Caenorhabditis elegans: one gene and its partner. The protein of the gene in region 2 interacts with the protein of the main gene of each other region in a pairwise test. Each region holds a gene or a part of one and is shown on either strand. Other genes may lie near its edges.

The links.
Region 1: the proteins of rpt-3 (region 2) and gst-23 interact in a two-hybrid assay, tested with the Caenorhabditis elegans proteins (one large-scale study listed by BioGRID).

Annotation. Positions count from the first base shown.
Region 1 is NC_003283.11:3,241,170-3,245,033, forward strand, and holds gst-23 (Glutathione S-transferase), read left to right. Parts: upstream 1-2,114; 5' UTR 2,115-2,125; coding exon 2,126-2,260; intron 2,261-2,302; coding exon 2,303-2,390; intron 2,391-2,867; coding exon 2,868-3,271; 3' UTR 3,272-3,333; downstream 3,334-3,864. Other genes in the region: srj-11 (Serpentine Receptor, class J), read left to right, coding at 255-503, 545-651, 703-907, 958-1,146, 1,201-1,467; srj-7 (Serpentine Receptor, class J), read left to right, coding at 3,834-3,864.
Region 2 is NC_003281.10:6,487,888-6,492,028, reverse strand, and holds rpt-3 (putative 26S proteasome regulatory subunit 6B), read right to left. Parts: upstream 2,237-4,141; 5' UTR 2,231-2,236; coding exon 1,516-2,230; intron 1,467-1,515; coding exon 1,342-1,466; intron 1,256-1,341; coding exon 851-1,255; 3' UTR 747-850; downstream 1-746. Other genes in the region: srb-11 (Serpentine receptor class beta-11), read left to right, coding at 128-421, 467-661; Chitin binding domain containing chtb-2, read right to left, coding at 3,154-3,285, 3,333-3,494, 3,541-3,681, 3,729-3,903, 4,070-4,141. UniProt on the Caenorhabditis elegans protein: The 26S proteasome is involved in the ATP-dependent degradation of ubiquitinated proteins. The regulatory (or ATPase) complex confers ATP dependency and substrate specificity to the 26S complex.

The DNA of each region.
Region 1 (3,864 bases), on a different chromosome or scaffold from region 2:
TATTTTCATCTTGATTCTGGTCTTCCAAGCGTTTTACCAATCCTACATTATTACTCATTTAGACTTTTTGAACCAATCTAAGTCCCGAGCACATTACCTAAATGATTGTTAATCCTATTGCATATCTGCGTAGGGCTCGAAAACAAATACAATTAGTATTCCTTCACACTTTTTCTGATTCAGATACAATCTGCTTTATAAATTATTAACACAATCTGAATATTCACAATTTCAGAAAGAAATTCAGACGGACTATGTATATCCACTGGTCTCACCATTACCTTCCAAAATTGTTTGGAATTTTGTCATTCGTGTGTAATCCAATTTTCATTTGCTTGATAGCCACCGAAAAGAAGGCTTCGATCGGGAAGTATCGATATCTTTTGATAGGGTTTGCAATTTTTGATATGGCTTACTCAACTGTAGAGCTAATCGTTCCCGTAGCAATTCATGGTACTGGGGCAGCTTTTGTGATTTACCTAGCTGACGGACCATTTTTTGGGGTGAGTTTGAAAGCTCTACACACCAAATGATTGAACTTCAGACTGGGAAGCTTGGCCAACTAGCTGTCTCAATTCGATGTGGGTGTATTTCTCTTTCATATGGAATCCTTGTCATTCACTTTATCTATCGGTATCTTGTGCTATTTAAGTGAGTTTTATTTTTATTTTTCACGTAAATCCGAAAATTTAAAAATTATAGCACCCGAATAATCGATCGACTTCTCCGGCCGTCCGGGCTATTTGGTCTCTTTGTATTTTTTGTTTTTCACGGAATAGCTTGGAGTTCTGTCTGCGAGATGTGTCTCTATGGAGATCAAGAAGTGTTCGACTACATCTATGACGCTTTTCAAAAAGATTACCATGTGGATTCACATGATTTATCCATGCTAATGGCATTGTTTTTCGTGAGGCTCGAAAAGAGCAAAGAACCAACACTAACCCCTTAAAATTTTAGGATGCAAGTCCCGAGATCAAAAGAAGAAGCTGGATTGGAATTCTGCTGCTGACTGGAATTTCGATATATGCAATTTCTCTATACGTTATTCTTGGATGGAAGATTATGAAAAAGCTGGCGGATAATCCAGGGGTTTCTGCAACGACTCAGAAATTGCATAGACAGTTATTCAAAGCCCTTGCAGTTCAGGTATACATGTTTTTAAAGAGTTCAGAAAAAAATTGTTTAACTAAACATTTTCAGACTTTCATCCCGATCTGCATCAGCTTCTCCCCTTGCATGATGGCCTGGTACGGTCCTGTAATCGGATTGGATCTCGGAATGTGGAACAATTATTTGGGCGTCATTGCACTGTCAGCGTTCCCTGTTCTAGATCCACTTGCTATCATTTTCCTCCTACCCAACTACCGGAACAAGCTTTTTCGCACTGTGAAAATGCCAATCAAATACTTTTATTCTGGAACATCGACTGTCCGACCCAACGTGGATAATTCAGCTCAAGTTTATTGAAAGTTTGAGGAAAAGTGTTGTCCAAGTTGTTATAAAATTTCTTATTTTTTTCCATAAATATTTTTCGCAACGTTCTTTTTTAATCAATGTGAAAGAGTTTTATTTGCATTTCTCGAAATACATGTTTGCTTTATAGATTTTTTCAATAGCCTGCGGACATTTTCAACGTGTCCCTCTTTTCTTACCAAGTTTGCAGACAGCTTACACTTTCTTCGTTTTTTTTTGGTTTTTAAAAACAAATTATTCTCAATTTAGTACTGTAACTTTTTGAACAACTTAGCACTTTTATAACAATGTCGTTAAGTTTGAGTTGGGATGATAGTTCTAGAAAATTATTTTGTCAAGTTTGGAGAATTCTTGTCGATGGGATTATTTTTGATCAATTACAGGAAAAAACCGTATAGAAATTTAAAATCAACACATAAACCTTACTAATTTACAGTTCACAATCGCGTCACACCCCTAACCCGATTATATTTTCGGTTTTTATTGCCGAAAATACAACAACACATGTATGAATTCGTATAGTTGCCCTCTATTATAATATTTTTGCATTTATGTTTTCCCAAATTCTCAAAAGTTTTATTTTTTCAAATTTACCGGAATCATAAAATTTACGTTTTTCTAATTTGGTTTTTCTAATTTATAGACCACTTCGATGACACTCAAGCTCACATACTTTGACATTCGTGGGCTCGCGGAGCCCATTCGGCTCTTGCTCAATGACCAGGAAATCCCATTTGAAGATAACCGTATCAGCCGAGAAGAGTGGGCCGAAATGAAGTCAACCATGGTGATTCATAATTTTTGAAACTATAAAAGTAGAATTTTCCAGATTTTCGCTCAATTGCCGTGTCTTCATATCGGAACTGAAACGATTGTCCAGTCAGCAGCGATTCTTCGTCATCTTGGACGGATTTATGGTGAGCAATCAGAAAATTTACAGTTTTGAAATAAAAAATTCATTCGAATTGATGAAAAAGAAAAAGCCTGTCAAATTGCTTATTAATTGTTTTGATAAATGTTTTGTTTTGAAAAAATCGTTTTTTTTGAGTGAAAATTTTTTTGATTTTCTCAAAATAAAAATTTTCAAAAAAACTTGCAGAATGTATACATCCGAAATCGTATAAAAATTATCTAAAAGTAGTCTTTTGGAGCAATTCTAAACGTCGTCAAATTAGTCAATAAATTGTTTTAAACTTTTGGCTTTATAGTTAGCTCTTCTAGGCTGACTTAATGCGTTTTTGATTACAATTTTTTTTTGATCTCAAAATATCAGTTGGAGAAAATAACGAAAAATATATTAACAATTGTTTTCCCGGCTGTTGAGTTAACATTTTGCAAATCTTATTTAAAATTCAATACAAAAAGAAAAAAAAACAACATCTAAAATTTCTCAGGACTCAATGGCTCCACTGAATCAGAGACCTCATTCATCGATATGTTCTCCGAAGGGCTCCGCGATCTACGCACCAAATATTTCACAATGATCAAGACAGACTACGAAGATGGCAAAGAAGCATACATAACTGAAACTCTTCCCGGGGAGCTACTACGAATTGAGAAGTTGTTCTGCACATTTAACAACGGCGAAAACTTTGTGTCCGGGGACAAGCTGAGCTATGCAGATTATGCTCTATTCGAGCTTCTCGATATTCACCTCATCCTCACACCAACTGCTCTAAATGGCACCCCAGCACTGAAAAGATTTCATGGACGATTTGCAGAGCGGCCCAATATGAGACTGTATTTGAATAAACGGGCCGAACTAAATCCATTCGTCAGTGGAAATGGGAAACAATAAAACTTTCGGATTTTTTTGTGTTAAATTAATTTTGCAATACTAATAAAACTTGTTTCAAATAACTATTGTTTCAAAAAGCAAAACTCAACTGTGAAACCATTTTCAAAAAATGAGCTATCAAAATTTCGAGTACTTAAAAATTAAATTTTTTTAAAGTTTTTTGAATTAACTTATCAAAGTCTATAGGTTTCACGATAACCTACTGCATATAAAACATTGGGTCCTGACACGAAAAACCAATGTAGTAGGAGTAAAACGTTGTTTGAAAATTAATACAGGTGCTGTTTATGAATCAGACCCTGGAGAATACAGATAACACCCACCTCAAGTCTGCTCAATGACGCTATCACACATGGAGGACTTTTTCGACCCTTTTCAGTGTGTTCCTTTGCAAAAACGGAGTTACCATAGCAGACAAATATTCAAGTCACAAAACACATAGTGCCCCAACCCCAAAGGAGTATACTATTTTACGAGAACTCGGCATTTATAAGAAAAACAAGAGGGGAAAACACTTCTACATCTCTTCATCGAGAAGATCCCATTATTTTTCAATACAACTATGATATATATGAACTGGTACCATCAAAATG
Region 2 (4,141 bases):
TGGAAATTAGATATTTCTAAATTCGATTTACAATCGATATCGATTGTCAATCAAGAAACCTTTATGAAGTTATATGATCAAATTGAAAAAAATTAAAATAAAATTCACGATGAATCTTTTTTTTCAGGCGTTTACCTTTTTTATAATTATATTTTTCGTCAATCTCGTAGATGTTATATTTGATTTAATATTACTTCGAATGAATCTTAAATTGAAATTACAATTGAAAAATTCTTCACTTGCTGTAAAATATCAACTGGAAGAAGTCTATCAATCCACTAAATTTTCCGTATTTCTTATTTTAATTCATATTATTTCATTCGGGATTTATGTATCTGCTGTGGTATTTTTTCGATATTTCGGAAATCTGATAATTTCAGACCCCGACTCTTTATTCGGAGTCAGAACTTTTTCGACAACAGTGATGAATGAAAATTAAGAAAACACGATGAATAAAAAATTTCAGATAGTTCCTACATATAATTTCGTTATTGGAAGCTTCTCAAGTTTTTTTAACCGAATAAAATTGAAGAAGTCTGAGGGAGCAACTATTCAAATGTCTTCAACTGGAAAATCTGGAGCTAACAATTACGATCAAGCCATTTTTAGTATTTGGAACTCAGTTTCTGGACCAATCGACAGGAATGTTACATTAGTTTGAACTTATACCTACTATTATACTTACACCTACTGTTAATCTTGATTTTTTCACCAGAATGAATGTATGAAGATTTTGAACGTTCGGTGAAGAGCAAATTGTTTATGCGAGACACGGTGTAAATACAATAAATTATAGTAAAAATATGGTTCACAGGACGAACTGGAGGGTCATCGGAGAGTAACTCGTGGTTTACTTGTAGAACTCGAAATCGTTGGTATCCTTCTTCACAACATTCTTGTAGGCCTTCTCAAGATCCTTGGTAAGCACAACGTAACGATTCTCACGAACGGCTTGCATACCAGCTTCTTGACAGATAGAGTTGATATCAGCTCCTGAAATCTTGTCTGGACGAGCAACCCAGTCTTCCAAATCAACATCATCCGACAGGTTCATACGAGAGCAGACGGTTGAGAATACGAGACGCTTTTGACGACGATCTGGCAATGGGAACTCAATCTTACGATCGAGACGACCTGGACGAAGAAGTGCAGGATCGAGAGTATCCTGTCGATTAGTGGCCATGATAACTTTCACATTAGTGCTTTGATCAAAACCGTCCATTTGATTGAGCAATTCGAGAAGAATACGTTGAACCTGGAAAAATACCACTTGTTTAACAAAACTTTTTTCTAGGGACCTAAAATTCGGAGAAAAAACTATCAATCTCGAAGTAATCTTACCTCACGATCTGCTCCGGTTTGAGCATCGAAACGTTTCGTAGCAATCGCGTCAATTTCATCGATAAAAATAATAGATGGGCTGTTTTCCTTTGCCAGACGGAAGACGTCACGCACCATTCGTGGTCCTAAAAGACTAAAAGTTACAATAATGGTGTTTTAAAACTTGATAATTACCTTCTCCAAGATATTTCTGTACAAACTCAGATCCAACAACGCGAATGAAGGAAGCAGCAGTATTTGCAGCAACAGCCTTCGCCAACATAGTCTTTCCACATCCTGGTGGTCCATACATGAGAACTCCTCTTGGGGGGTCAATTCCGATTTGTTGATAAAGTTCTCCATGAGTCAATGGAAGTTCGACAGCTTCTCTGACTTCTTGCTTCTGCATATCAAGACCTCCAATATCTCCATAAGAGATGTCAGGTTTCTCATCAGGACGAAGCATTTGAATGGAGCTGTCAGCCTCTGGTGGAAGAACATCAACAAGTGCGTTTGAATATTTATGAAGGGCCACCGAACATCCTGGCTTAAGCAGCTCACGATCCAAAATCGATAGAACACGGACATAATAGTTGGATCCGGTGGTGCTTCCAACGATAGCATGGTTTTGGTCCACAGCTTCCAGGAATTGTCCAATGACAAGTGGCACAGATTGAATACGCTTCACTTCTTCCTGAGCATGAAGCAATTCTTTTTCAAGGTTTCTTGTCTCCAGCTTGATATAGTCCTCCATAACTTGAAGATGCGCCAGTTGACGTTCCAGCGTTGTAAGCTTGATATAGTCGTCTGATGATACATCAACGCAGGTGGCTGGAAGTGGTGGCGGACGGAGAGAAGTATTCTCCTGTAATGGAGCAATACCGATTTCCTCCAAAGCAGCGGCAGACATGTTCCTAGAAATGAAAATTTAACGTTGTTGCAAAAAAATAGTTTCAGAAAATGTAACCACGGAACAGAATTATTTTCATGAAAAAGAAACGTCAAACTGCTATTTCGAAATATTTTTGTTTTAATTAATCAGCTTTACGAATCTGAACAGTACAAAAGCGTTTTTCATCCGAATAGTCATGAAAAAAACAGAAACGAAAATATGTCGTGCGTTTGTACTAATACATCGAACTACAATGTTTCGTTACCTCCTACGATGTGGTTTCAACTTACTTTTATTTCTTCTATTTGGGTGCATGCTAATATTTTTGAAGTATAACGCAATTGCGCGCAAGATATATGAAGACAAAATAAATTTACCCTATTACGAAGCTCAGAAAACAAACAGCTCAACTTTTAAACAACGCACATTTTCCATTTAAACTTTGAAATACTTTAGACACGTAACCAATAAGTACCGAAAACTTTAATACTAAACAAAACACTTAAATTTGTCACTTTATTATTGATTAAACGAATGGAGATCATATTATCACAAGTGGGGAACAGAAAGACTTTCGAAAACTAGGTAGAATGTGGAAAAATGAAAAAGGAAAGCAAATTTTGAGAAAAAAGAAAATGGCGGTGAAAAACATTTAAAAAAATATTTTGAGAAATCATCATCCGCAAATGTGCGTGACGGTGTTTGCAGTATTTGCGTACCCGACACCCAATTTGACGACAAAAAGAAATAAAGATTTTTAGCGAACAGAAATTCACAAAAATAAAAACTGCGAGCGACAAATACTTAATTGTTCTAAATAATTCACTAATTTTTAATTGTCATTGTATTAATTTTCTGAAAATTCACCATGAGGCTCGCAGTTTTCATTTTTACAAATTAAAATAATACAATTCTGCAAATAAATTATTTTAAAATTATAATTAATTTTTTTTCGTAATATTATCGCTATTTGATGACTTTAGCCGATCAATTGTTTCTTTTCGTAGCTTCTCATCGTTTTTTTGATCAGCCAATAAACGATCCAAGAACTGTTCAGTTTGGTTCAGAGCGATCTGAAATTGGAGAAATAAGAATCTCAATTTTTTAATAAAATATTTACCTTTTTAAGCACAGGCTTGACTACACTTCCAAGTGATTGAGCTCCAGAGTTTTCATCGTGCATTTTAAAATTGAGTGATGGCAACATTCGACTTAAAAAATCTGGCTGAACACGTGGAAATAGTGGATGTATGTGGGAAAGATCAATTTCGGATTTTATGCTCTGAAAAATAAAGTTGTAAATACAGAATCTGTTAAATGTTCAGTACATTAGTTGATAGTGAGTTCTGGCTTTGAGAAATTTGATAGGAAACTGGAACATTCGAATTTGGAGCAATTGTTGGAGTTGGAGCAATTGGTCGAACAACTTGATGATTATGTCCTCCACTAACCACACTTCCATGAATGTGCTACAAGATGAGAATTTAAAAAATATTTTTGAAGTTAAATTATGTACATTTTGGTATTGTTGAGCATAGGTTTTTTCAGCTGTCGCTAATTCTGGAATCTTTGGAAGCAAATCCTTTGGGAACTGATCAATAGTACTGTAGATTTGAGGTTGGTGAGTTTCCGGGACAGGCGGATAAACTCGTGGCGGGGATATATGAGTTGGGAGTTGATGGTCAATCACTCTGAAAATCCAAAAAGTCATGGCAATCGATTTGAAGTTGGAAAAACAGTTTTCGAAAAAAATGCTTTGAAAAATTTGCTATCTGTTGTTTCTCGGATCAATTTGATGAGCTGCTACGAGTTTTCCAATTATTTATAAAATTTAAATAACTTCTATCAAAAACTAACCTATTACCCTTCCACTCAACAAATGAAGTCTCCGAAGGTAGTCTTGGAATCACGACTCGATTGTCTGGATCA